Drosophila melanogaster: one gene and its partner. The protein of the gene in region 1 purifies or fractionates together with the protein of each later gene. This does not show direct contact. Each region holds a gene or a part of one and is shown on either strand. Other genes may lie near its edges.

Region 1 (8,135 bases):
GCACCAGCAAAGGAATCGGAGTTGTCACGCAGGTGTTTCCGGTCAACAAGACAGGCATAAAGTAGAGAAGCGGGCCAGATGGATAGTTCCAATGACATATCTATATATCTCAAACAAAGATGACATGTACATATACTTAATTAGCAATTAGAGGGAGGCGTTAAATCTTAGGCAGATCTTCTGTACACTTAGTTTCGGGTTCTGTGATTTTTCGTTTAAGCTCGGCTCACAATCGGATGTTGTGAGTAATCCTTCTCAATTAACCTTATTTCATTAAAATCCACCCCAAAATGCATACAATGTTGCTTTCAATTCGCGTCCGAGCCAAAGAGTATAAATAATTACCGAAGTATTAATTTTTTTCCTTCTAGCAGATGTACATATATATGTACATATGATCAAAACCGACTAACTTTAAGCAACATTTACCATCAATTCTATGGTATACAAAGACGAAAAAGTGCTCAACAATTTGTTTATTTCTGTCTACTGCTAATGTGCTCATCTTGACTACTGTTATCACTTGTTGCCGGGACACTGGCGCCACCTTCAATTTCCTCCGCCTTGGCTGGCACTTCGGATGTGAACCGGAAGAGGACGGGCACCTCTCCTATGGAGGGATTTCCGTTCGCTTCCAACAGGCGAATCCACGAGAGCAATGAGTCCTTTGTGGAGGTGCCTGTGGCACAGATGGCCATAATGGTTCCGTCGTCCTGTTGGTGGACAGAGCGCAGCTTTCCCAGCTGGTTGTGTCGCCTTGGTGGAGCACGACCAAAGAAGGGTACTTCGATGTGGGAGACATCGTCCTCGTCCAGCTGCCGCTCATCTAATTCAGACAGGAACTCAGAATCTGCATCAGCGCGCAGGGTAAAGTAGTTGATCCGGCGATTCCTAAGCCATATGTGAAAGGGTCCCTCGATGTACAGAGCTTTCTGGCGAGAGTGCTCCCGCAGCAGTTTCTCCTGCTCGGGACTCATTCCGCTCACGATCCACGTATCGTCAATGGCATCCTTCAGCTCGCTGGTCTCGAAAACCGTGATTTTGGACCGCAGGTCGACCGTGCACATCCGCTCTAGCGCCAGCTTGGCCATTTCCAATGTATCATCCGGAACAGGATCGGGCAGTGGCCACGGTGATAGGTTCTTAAACTTTGGCATCCAGTACATCATGCGCCAATACTTGCGCAGTGGATGTCCCTGCCTGCCAAACACATTAAGCAGCATCGCCTCCATCTCGTGATCGGGCATCACCCCGCAATCTTCCATCTGCTCAAGCAGATCAATGATACACTGCTGCTGTTTGGGGTAGTGCATGAACTCTGCCTGGAACATGTTGGTGGGTATGAACTTGCCCTTGGGCATCACGTTGATCAGGGCCTTGTAGACCTCCAAGTCTCTTTCCACCCCGAAATCCGCCATATTCTTGAGTGCCGCGTAGATGAACTCCACATGGTTCCGACGGTGGACGTCGCGCTCCTGGAATATCTCCACCATGGTCAGGTAGCTGTTTTTCGTCCTGTCCTGGGCGGCGGCAAAGGGGTTCCTTAAAGCCGGCAGGTTTTTGGTGCCGGGTTTTTGTGCCCTGGGATTTGGATTCGGGTTCTGTTTCGGATTTCCCTCGTCCGTAGCGTAGTTTCGAAAGCGGCTGACCAGCGAATGGCCTCCATTGCCGTGCAGCCGGAGCAGGCATTGTGCGCGGCGCAGCATTTTTTATTTATAATTAATTAATTGAATAAATTTGCAAATACGATTACAAAACATTGCACAAGCTGCGGAACTAGTTCGCGTTTTGCAGCACTGCTGCTGCAACATATGTTTTAATAGTGCCGATAGTCTAGCGTATTTAGCCAAATTTGGTAAATTCTAGGGCGAAAAATTGTATTTAGTTTCGGCTGTACCCAAAGATTTTCAAGCTTAAATAGTGTCATGACCGTAATACACGCTTAAAGTCATACGCTAGTAACAAAAGTTGAAGTGAATATTGCATAAGCTCATTGTGACTACCTTCACGAATCTCTTCCTTCGGAGAACAGCTGTTTGTCTGGCTTAGGGCCATCATCACTGGTGACTGAGTTGCTCAACACTGTATTAACTCAGTGTATCCTTTGTGCTGCTTTTTGTTGTTATTTCACCGTTTTCTGCGTTATCCTTATTCGCATAGTTTTCGGTTGTTTTTCTGTTGTTTAAGTTAGTTCCGAACCCTGAGTTATTTGCACGGGCGCGCGCCTACATAAAAATGCAATCCAACAAGCCGATCTCTGCGGCGGAGGCCTGACCAGCAGGCAGTATCTATAACAGAAGCAAAACAATAGACTTTGGCTTGGTCCCAAGGAGCACCCACCAGCCCAACGTTATTCGAGACTTCCAGCCGCCAAGGATGCACTGAAGGGAAGCGGAAACCCAAGGAGCATTTGATGTTCCCGCAATGCGAAGAGGGTAAAGAGGATTCGGGCATCACATTCTACTGACATGTTGTGCTTCGACTCGGAGAGGATGAACTGGTACTACCACGTCCTGGCCAGGCGTCCCTACCTGGTGGTCGTCTCCATTGCTGTCTACTGTGTCGCTTGCATCATCGTGGCCCTCGTCCTGAACAAGCTGCCGGACTTCAGTGATCCCACCTTGGTTTGTCCTATTAGATTTGTCCAAAACATGTTCACTGCTTGATATTTGGAGAATATATCTTATCTTATTTTACAATTATTTTTTAAAATATTGAGCACATGGAAATAATCCGAAAATGTCTAAATGATATTATTTTATTTAAATTTCGTTATATATCTATTTTTTTTAAATATTAAGAAGTTAAAATATTTTAAATATTCACAGAATTGCTATAAGAAACTACAGGATTACTTGTATACAAACTATTCCTGTATTATATTTTCATTGTTATTATGTTATTGTTGTAAAAATTGTGGAAAATAATAAGATTAATTTCTCACTAATATGACTTATTTGATCACTTTATAATGTGATTATTTGTCATGATTAATATTTATGATTCAACATTTATTTCACTTTAGGGCTTCGAAACCCGCGGCACCAAAATTGGAGAACGACTGACGGCCTGGTACAACCTGCTGCAAGAGACTGACCACCATGGTGCTCTTTTCTCAAATCCATCGGATCTGTGGGAGAGGAGACGGGTAGAGCAGGGCTATGTGGAGACGAAGCTGCATCCGAATCACAGGCGACGCAAAAACAAGCACAAGAACAGAAACAAGAACAAGCGACGCAAGGAACAAAATCAAAGCAGCCACGAGCATCACGATGTGGCGCAGAAGATGATGCAGTTCAAAAAACGGCTGAAGGCTACTAGTTCTCCCTCTCCAAATCTCGGCTTTGACACCTGGATCGGGGACAGTGGAGTATTTCGCGACTACGAGATTACAAACGACAGCGCTTCCTCCTCTTTGGAACCCACGCGACGCACTGAGCAAATCGAATATGGCCACAACACCACCTCAGTGGACGAGGAAGAGCATCAGCAGCGGGTGCAGACCAAGAAGAGCACTTGGCGGCTCCTAAAGCAAGCCGCCACCTTGCCCACCGACGGTTGGGCAGACATGCATCGTCGCCAACCCATCGAGGGATTCTTTTGCGATTCATCGCCCCGGAAGGAGTACTCTCATTTTGTGGTCCAGCGGATCGGTCCCAACGCCACCGATTCTCTATTTGATTTGAACGGACTGCTGGCCATGTGTCAGTTGCAGGATCAGATTACCGAAGTCCCCAGCTACCGGGCATTTTGCGAGCCGGAGATGCTTACCACCGAGTGCTGCCGGCCATGGTCACTGCCCAACTACGCCGCCATGCTGGCCAACAAAAGTTCCTGTTTCGACCTTACCACGGAGGATGTTACTTCGCTGCACACGCTGCTCTTGGGCTGCTATGAGTACTTCCATGACCTAAAGATGGACAACCACTGCAACGAAATACCGCATTGTCGTGCTCCTGAAGAGTGCAAGCGGCTAAATATCGTCTTTAACGTCCTGAATTTTCTCACCGACTTTAGTTTCATCAAGTCTAATGTAAGTTATTGAGTTTAAAATAAGCTTAGACCCCAAAACTCTTTTATTAAAACAGATTTGTATTTGTCCGTTGCTTTACTCGTATTGCATTAAATTCGACCATATAATATTGGCACTTTTTTTTTTTGTAGGACTCGAATGTATACCTGAAATACGCCATGATTTTTATACCCGTGGCGCAATCCAACCGCTTGCTGCCACTGTTCCACGAATGGGAAGACGTGTAAGTATGGAGCACAGCTAATATTTGCGAAATTGATACCGGTCGATGGGTGTGGAGGGCATTACATTATTTTTAGCTTTCATCAAGGCCGGAACGCATATGGTATCAAAATAGGTGGTCAAGTTGTACTTTGTGAAAATTTTTCGTAAATCGCTGGCGATTTTGTCCAGAGTAGTGTCCTTTAGCCTACGTTCTGGATAGAAGGAGCTCCTAAACGGCTCCGTTTCCTGCAGGAAATTGTAATAGCACCCATATGTGGTCCGATAGTCCTCGTCCTTGAGAGAGTAACCTTTTTTGTTCCTATAGCGCCGTCGACTTACAAAAGAAACGAAGTCATTCCGAGAGTAATCGTTCATGTACACCGATCTACGAAGGTCCTTCACAAAGTCCTTCAGAATTCGGAAATCCACAGGCGGATACATAAAAAATAGCTTGTAGATCCTTTCGTTACACCACTTGTTGCGCTTGATGAACTGTGCGTAGTCCTCCCGCCAGTCCATTGATTGGGGCCATGTCTTTGTTTTATATTCAATGCCACCAACCTTTAGATTTGCGCAGTAGTGACCACTTATTAGAGAGGGATCCTCTTGGGTTTTCTTAATCGGGGGATTGTAAACGGCTCTTTCAGTATGATCCACATAATCCGCTCTGCTGGTGGTTACAAGCACCCTCGTCCTTGGCAATTCCATTTTAATTAATTCCTTTTCCCGTTGAACTGGATCCATTTTGCAATTTTTTTTGTATTTTTCTTTTATTTAAAAATATTTTTGATGTTTTCTGTTTGATAATAATATTCTGAATGATTTTTCAGGGAGCTGATCAACGAGCTTGTGGAAGTGGTTGCGATGGACTTGGGCCTCGAAAACGAACTCTTTAACGAGCTGCTGCTGACGGACGTGTGGCTAGTTTCGCTGGGAGGGACATTCGTCATGGCTAGCGTGTGGTTGTACACGGGATCGGCATTCATCACCTTGATGTCCTGCGTAGCCATATGCTTTTCGCTAGGACTAGCGTACTTTTTTTACGCCATCGTGCTGGAGTTTGAGTTCTTCCCCTATATGAACCTTCTGGCCGTGGTAGTAATAATTGGCATTGGAGCAGACGACGTATTTCTGTTTCTTAAGATCTGGCACTGTGTGCTGACCGAGAGGTTCAGCAATCGATGTACCTTGACCACTCAGTCCCAGAGTGCTCTTCCCACCCTGGAGAACAGTGATCACACGGAGTCACTGGAAAACATAATGGCGCTGACTATGCGACATGCCGCTGCCTCCATGTTCGTTACCTCACTTACCACCGCCGGCGCCTTTTATGCCTCCTACAGCAGCTCTATAACAGCTATAAAGTGCTTTGGGTAAGTTAATAAAAGCAAGATTAGATGAATCTTAATATTTAGTAATGCTCATTTAATAAATTATATTTTTAGGATTTTTGCGGGAACTGTCGTGGTGACCAACTACTTACTAATGATAACTTGGTTGCCTGCATCGGTCTCCATCATGGAACGACTATTTGCCACAAGGATGTCCTGCCATCATCCGATGTCAATAAAGCTGATCCACGCCTGCAAGAAGTCAATTAACCGATTTTGTCAGATGTTTGAGGAGTGCATCACGAAAAGCATCATGAACTATGCCTATCTCTGGCTGCTGATCTTTGGGGCTCTAGGCGCGTCCAGTGCCGTCATTGTGTTCTGGTATCCAGGACTTCAGTTGCCGGAAAAATCACACTTCCAGCTCTTTGTGTCAAAGCATCCATTTGAGGTTTACTCCAGTCTCAAGCAGCAGTTCTGGTTCGAGAAACCATTGCAGGCGTACGAGAACTTCAAGATGCACATGCATTTCGTCTGGGGCGTTCAAGCGGTGGACGACGGCGACTATACGAACCCCAACTCATACGGCCACCTGCACTATGACAATAATTTTAACGTATCCAGCAGGCCGGCACAACTCTGGATCCTTGATTTTTGCCAGAGTGTGCGCCAGCAACCCTTTTACAAAGAGACTCTCGGCATGCTGTTGCCCAATTGTTTCATTGAAAATCTTATCGACTATATGAAGCGCAGGTGAGCATATACAATTATATACATACTTACAATGGCTTAGAAAGCTCATTAAAACTGGGTTCAGAAAAATCGATTTTGTTTACATTTGAAAGCTGGAACTGGTTTAGATGGATTAAGACAGGAGATATAGAGACACCAATACAATTTGCAATCATTAATAGAAGCTTTTGTTCATGTTGTTCAGATGCATCGATGATATGGACAGTACCAGGAAAGACCGTTCACCCTGCTGTGACGCACAGTTTCCCTTTGAGCCGCACATATTTGAGTACTGCTTGCCACAAAGCATATCCAACATGTATGACACTACATTTTTCCGGCCCGGCGTGGCAGGACCCAAGTTTGCAGAGGCTCCCCGACTGGAGACTGAGGATTACCTAGGAATGAGTGGAAATGAGAGTGCAGAGTACAGCACCAACGGATCATTTACACCGCTACTAGTCAAAGCCCTGGTCATCGAGTTCGAGTCCAACGTGGCCTACAGCACCATCTACGCAAATATTAGGCAGTTCTACGAGTCTGTAGAGCACTGGTTTCAGATGCAGTTAAAAACGGCACCGCCGGAACTTCAAGGAGGATGGTTCACGAGCGACCTGAAATTTTACAATGTGCAGGACACCCTTTCGCACGACACCTTTGTTGCCATTTGTCTGGCCATGGCTGCATCACTTGCAGTGCTCCTATGCTTCACCGTAAACATATTGATTTCCATCTACGCCGTACTAACCGTGTCGCTAAGTATTTTTAACACCGTGGCTGTGCTCATCCTGCTCGGCTGGCAGCTTAACATCTTGGAGAGCATTGCGGTGAGCACGGCTATCGGTCTGGCTGTGGACTTTAGCCTACATTACGGTATTCACTACCGGATGTCCCCGGTTAAGGAGAGATTGGCAGCCACACAGTTTGTACTATCCCGCATCATTGGACCCACAGTGATGGCGGCCACCACAACTGGTCTAGCTGGCGGAATCATGATGGCATCCAACATATTGCCCTACATACAGATTGGCGTCTTCCTGGTCGTTGTCATGATCGTTAGCTGGTTCTATGCCACTTTCTTTCTAATGAGTCTGCTTCGGGTTGCCGGTCCTCAGCATGGTTTTCTGGAACTCAAGTGGCCGTTGTGGAGCAAGCGAAGCAGTGGCAGCAGCAAGTTCTACGAGCGGTAAGGCTTTTATCGTATTGACCCTTTCAATTTTCTATATCTCTCTGTTTTGCGTTAATGTCATTTTTATCAAGCCTGACTGACGGGTGACTACCCGTTATCGGTTATTAAAACTCGAATTTCTTTGTGCAGGAAACCCAGCCAAGTGATCGCCAGCGAGCAGCTGCTGACCCCCACAAGCTCGGCCATCGTTGAGTTGGCGAACTCGGAGACGCACGAACTGGAGTCCCTAAACTCCAACAGCCTGATCAAAACCATTTCGGGCATCGAAAGCGCCCACGCATTGTCCTCGCTGCCGAGGGACTTCGAGCACTCATTCCAGACGATGCACGAGTGCAAATATCAAACGTATCCGTCTACATCCAATTGAGTTAGTTACTATTGCCGGACAACGCGTTGTTGTTGCCAAGAAGAATCAGGCAACTGCATTTTTATACAGGGTACGGCGGCTCTCAAGCCTGCCCGAGATACATTTATATATACATATACACGCCGTGTGTCGGCATATTTAGTTTTAAAATATGCTGGCGGTGGCATATGTACGTGTTGTGCGAGTTCTACATTGATATACTCTAGATATATGTGTAATTGTACTTGGTAGGATTAGGCAAAGCTATTTTCAAAAGACTCCAGGCTATTGCAATATGCT
Region 2 (4,979 bases), on another chromosome or scaffold:
CATTTTGGGGTACATCCCAGTGGATAACGAAGCGCACACTTGGTTTGTCCACACCCATTCCAAAACTATTGGTTGCACATATAATGGGCTGATCACCCCGCATCCACGCTTCCTGGACTTCAGTACGTTCTCCTGTTTTCAGACCAGCGTGATAGGCTACTGCTCCGATTCCCTGTTTAGTTACCCCTATCGCCATGCGCTCCACTTGGTCTCGAGTCCGGCAATATACGATTCCGCAGCCTCTTTGTGGCTTGGGTGTATCCTTAAACTCCTTCGGATTGCCCAAGCAGTGTCTGGCGAAATCTGCCAGGTGCTGAAAGTCATCTTCGATAGAATTCTTGTAAACAATGTCATAGAAGAGGTTTTTCCTGAAGCTAGGAGTGCTAAATTGAGCCACGGGTTGGTGGAGGCGCAACTGCTTATATATATCCTCCTTGACTTCCCTTGAAGCTGTGGCAGTCAAAGCCAACCAGATGACGTCGGAATATTTGGAACGCAGCTCCCCCAGCTTTAGATAGTCCGGTCGAAAGTCATGTCCCCATTGGCTAACACAATGCGCCTCGTCGACTGCAAAGTAGGCAAGCTTATTGTGTTTATGGAGGGTTTGCAGCAGGTCTTGAAAAAACTTGGTGGCGGCCTGTTCCGGGGTTATGTAGAGAAACTTCAGGTTGGTTCTCACGGCCTTTAAGTCCATTATAACACGATCCCTTTCTTTGGTGCTCATCTTGGAGTTCAAAGAATCCGCCGGCACTTTCAGTTTGGTTAAATGATCTATCTGATCTTTAATCAAAGCCAAAAGCGGAGAAAAAACAATGGTTATTTGATTCTCTGACATCAAACCAGGCAATTGGAAGCACAGGGATTTACCCGAGCCCGTGGGCATCGACACATACACATCCTGCTTTTCTGTAAGAGAATTACGAGAGGTATTATCTGCGAGATTGGGTAAGAATTTGGCCAATATTCACTTTTAACAGCGCACTTCACGGCTTTTTCCTGTAGATCCGATTTGAATTTCGAGTGGCCAAAATGCTTTTTCAGCGCCTCGTGCACAGCGCTTTCATGCGCCATACTTGGGCTGTTATTTAAATTGCGTTTTATTTAAATAAACATTGTTTTGCTTCAGACCAAAACTGGTTGCCGCCAAAACAGCTGGTTTAGAGATGAACAATGCGGCTAGATAGTGGCTTTCGATAGTGTGGACCTTCCTTTATCGATGTCACATATTTCGAATAAATTTAGATGTCCACACTATTTGTTTTGTACACAAAATATTTTAAATGTGATTAAATAGGCATTCATCTCGCCTATAAGCGCGACATGGAAGTTTTACTTTTTGTGATTAAATTATTCAAAAACCATTTAGCTTACCAACCAATTAATAAATATACAGTCGTGTGTTTGCAAACAAAAAAAATTTATGGTATGTATAATTGTATATGTATAATAATTTATATGTATGTATGTATTAACAGGACCAATCTATTTCTTGTAAAACTTTCGTTATTTTATTTTTAAATTTCACAACTTTCTAACAAACGTTTCCCAGAATGGAATTCTCATAGCCTAGTGACACTGTACATACCTAAAAACGGTGTAAGGCGATAGACATCGATAGCCGCGGTCACCAATCGATAAGCGCAGGCTGAAAAGAATCGACGGTAAGCAGTCGAAATTCAAAGAGACTTCTCAGTCAAAATTTTATAGCCGACTCGCGAGCACGCGCTGTGCTGCTTCTTCCTGCGTTGCGCGCTTTGCTTTCAATTCGCCTTTCGTCGTCGCGGGTGCGTGTGTGTTGGAGCGAGTGCGTCTATGTGCAGTGCGTGTGCCGCTATTTGTTAATTGTTAATAATCCCGATTTAATAACACCCGACAACCATGTTGCACTTCAATTGCTTCTGAACGCAAAATGCGCACTGATAAACGCAAACGACAAAAATAAGTTTCATAATAATAATAATGCCGGCAAACAAAGCGGTGTATTAGTGTGCGTATTTCAGTGTGGGTGCCTGCGTTTGCCAAAATTATTTACCGCAAAAAGAACAAACACAGTCAAAACGATTTGAATCCCAATCGAAACTAAACGACAACAAACGCCGGTGAAATTAGCCCTGTCTCTCGCTCTCTCTTTCCCCTTAAAATAAAGAAAGAGTTATCAAAATGCTACATCAGCAGCAACAACAACAACATCTGCATTGCAGAAGAAAAGCTACAGCAACAACAACTGCCCGCCTTGTGATATTCAGCAGTCCTCTTCTACTATTACTACTCACCACCCACTTGCCGCCCACCTTACAAGCGGACAATGGCCCCGCCCCCCAAGTGGCCGCCCTTGCCGCCCCCAATCCGGCGGGTGGCGTAGCAGGGTCTTCGATCATCGATCAATTCAGTCCGAATTGCAGTGCTGTGACACACATTTTCCAAGCGAGAGGAATCGATGCCATCGAAATTCCCCAAAAACCCAGTAACGGTATGTCCGATATTATATACCAATGGCTTAATAAATACCTGTCGAGAAATATTTATTATTGTAAATATTTAAATTTTAAACAAAGTTATAATTACTTCTTGTGGGTGAAATGTTCAGATCATAAAAATTTTTTTTTAATTTTGAAATACGCTTTAAGTGAAGGATATTAAAAAAAAAACTTAAAGATATTTTCAAGAACTCTGGTACTTTAGTAGGCTTATTATAACTTATTGCCTTCCCATATGGTGTCATTCAAATAGTACAAATTTTAATTTGTAGCGATGTTTAAAGTGCGAAATGGTTGAGGTAGTGCCATTCTTAATGCAAAAAAGATAAGAAAATCCATATCGTGGCAATCAGATCTTTTAAAATGTATACTTACATTGATATATGTAGTATGGAAAAGTATGGTTAGTATGGAAAAATGGACTATAATCTTTAATAAAGTTATTTAATAAGCTTAAAGACCATATTATTTATCCAATGGAATTAAAAACTCAAAGCAACTAATATTGGTATTACCCGAAAAAGAATCCGTATATTTCATAACAATAGTAAATTGCCGGAGATAAGAAACAAGTTTGATTCGCAAAGGAACAAAGAGAACTCGTGTATAAATTGGACGATTCCGTGATTCATTCTGTTCCTTCAACGCGCCTGCAGAGCTCCCTCCACTCCCTCCGCCCCCTGAAGGAAATAAAATTCCAGGCAAATCAACTCGAAATGCGAATAAGCAGCAGCACAAGACAGGCTCTAAATAAGAGAGAGTCCGTCGCGGAGAGCGTGTCCATCCCAGAGATCTTGGCGCATGCGTCGCCTGCTCATCGCAGCCCCCATTTCTGCCCCCGGTCCATTCCTACCCAGTGGGGGCAAAGGGTTCCAGTTTCCAAGACCAGTCCAATAGGCAGGAGCAGCCGCAGCGAAAAATCTCAAGAAATTCCTTTTTGATGAACAAAAAAAGGAAATAAAATGAGAAGAGCGCGGGCATACAGTAGAGCATCGTTGGCGTGAACTGCGTGAATTACCTTTTATATGTTTATGGGATATGCTATAAGAGTTATTTAAAACTGTTAAGGATTTCTTAATTATTTCTATTTTGAGATGCCATGTTTTACAAAGTTTACGAATCTTTTAAAGATATTGGACTGTGGAACCCATTTACAGGCTCTTTACCTAGTGCAAGAGCAAAAATGTTGTCACACCGCTTTTACACATAGTTTAATGGGGTATAAGGGGTGGAGAGGGGTAGACCTAGCCTCGACCTCGATCGCCTGTGGGTTTTACTTAATTTGTATAAATCCTGAATTAATCACGCTTAATTGCAATAAGTTGCGCTGCCCTCTCTTCGTCGCCTTCAGTTTCTCTCCCTCTCTCTCTGTCTCTCTTTGTTTGATTTGTTGCCAGGTAAACTGTTGCAGCCTCTGCCCTTTTGCCCCACCCCATACCCCTGTTCCAGTCCATACCCCTGCCCCTCCTTTAGTCCTCTACCTGCGCCCTGCCTTTGTTTATTTTTGGTTTTCAACGTTGCCTGATTGGTTTTTTTTCCCTCCCGATATGTTTTCCTTATTTTTTATCTTTTGGTCAAATGCATTGCGCGTTGCGTTGCGTTTCGTTCATAATTTCATGGAAATGTCTGTGGGGGAGGGGGGCGATGAGGGGCCAACAGGTAGAGTGGTCAGTTCTCGAGTTCCCTTTTGTGTTGTCTTTGATATTAATCAAGGTGTCATTGAAATCGTTTAAATTATGCAGTTCAGGATTTTTATTCTCTGTCGGCATTTTTATGTGAACCTTTTACTTCCCGATCAACTCGAACCCCCGTCCCTTGGCCATCAAAAAACGAATGCACTCGAATTATTAAAGCTAATCCGTAAATAATATTTTAATAAGTTTTTCTGGTCCAGTAGGATTGCAATCAATAAATAATTCAATTTATGTTGACGTATTAACATTTTATTCATGTTCATGTGATTGTTATTCAGTGCTTTTCAAACAATAAAACAATTAAATATTTAAATGGAAAATTATTTATAATAGGACAAATTTTAATAACAGATTTCTTAAATTTATGCTAAGCTAAAATGCCATTATTCTTTACATTTAATTTTTCCCAGTGCACAGCTTCTCTTTCCACCGTGTGAGTCATAAATTCTTGTGTTGCGTCCTCTCTTCTCGTTCGCTTCTTTCCATTCCCTTTCCATTCACCTGACCCCCACCCTTCGCGCCTTGTCCGCCTGATAAGCGCCAGCATTTAGATAAAGTTTCCGACCTGTTCTTTTCCCATGCCTTCTCGAATTGCTTAACTGGGAACTACTTTTGCGATAGGTGTTTATAGGGTCTTCTGGATGGAGTTTCGTGGTTTTGTAGGCCAGCTAACTGGTGAGGCTGTGCGTCTGATAAAGCTAAACTTCCATTTGCGATAGGTGAACTAGTTTATGAAACGTAGACTTTTTGGGGCCAACATATTGTCGTAGGGAAGTTCTTCAAATTGACTAAGGTTGGTCTTCGTTGA

The links.
Region 2: the proteins of disp (region 1) and dlp purify together in Drosophila melanogaster (affinity purification with western blotting, with the first as the bait; one study listed by BioGRID). This does not show direct contact.

What each region holds. Positions count from the first base shown.
Region 1 is NT_033777.3:5,850,242-5,858,376, reverse strand, and holds the start of disp (dispatched), read left to right. Parts: upstream 1-2,065; 5' UTR 2,066-2,468; coding exon 2,469-2,624; intron 2,625-3,025; coding exon 3,026-4,033; intron 4,034-4,094; exon of another isoform or gene 4,095-4,164; coding exon 4,165-4,256; exon of another isoform or gene 4,257-4,273; coding exon of another isoform or gene 4,274-4,981; exon of another isoform or gene 4,982-5,045; intron 5,046-5,067; coding exon 5,068-5,610; intron 5,611-5,682; coding exon 5,683-6,321; intron 6,322-6,505; coding exon 6,506-7,486; intron 7,487-7,618; coding exon 7,619-7,856; 3' UTR 7,857-8,135. Other genes in the region: CG2017 (uncharacterized protein), read left to right, coding at 1-65; ECSIT, read right to left, coding at 477-1,706; CG34287 (uncharacterized protein), read right to left, coding at 4,274-4,981. UniProt on the Drosophila melanogaster protein: Segment polarity protein which functions in hedgehog (Hh) signaling.
Region 2 is NT_037436.4:14,630,913-14,635,891, forward strand, and holds the start of dlp (dally-like), read left to right. Parts: upstream 1-1,688; 5' UTR 1,689-2,160; coding exon 2,161-2,470; intron 2,471-4,979. Other genes in the region: RecQ5 helicase, read right to left, coding at 1-906, 969-1,071.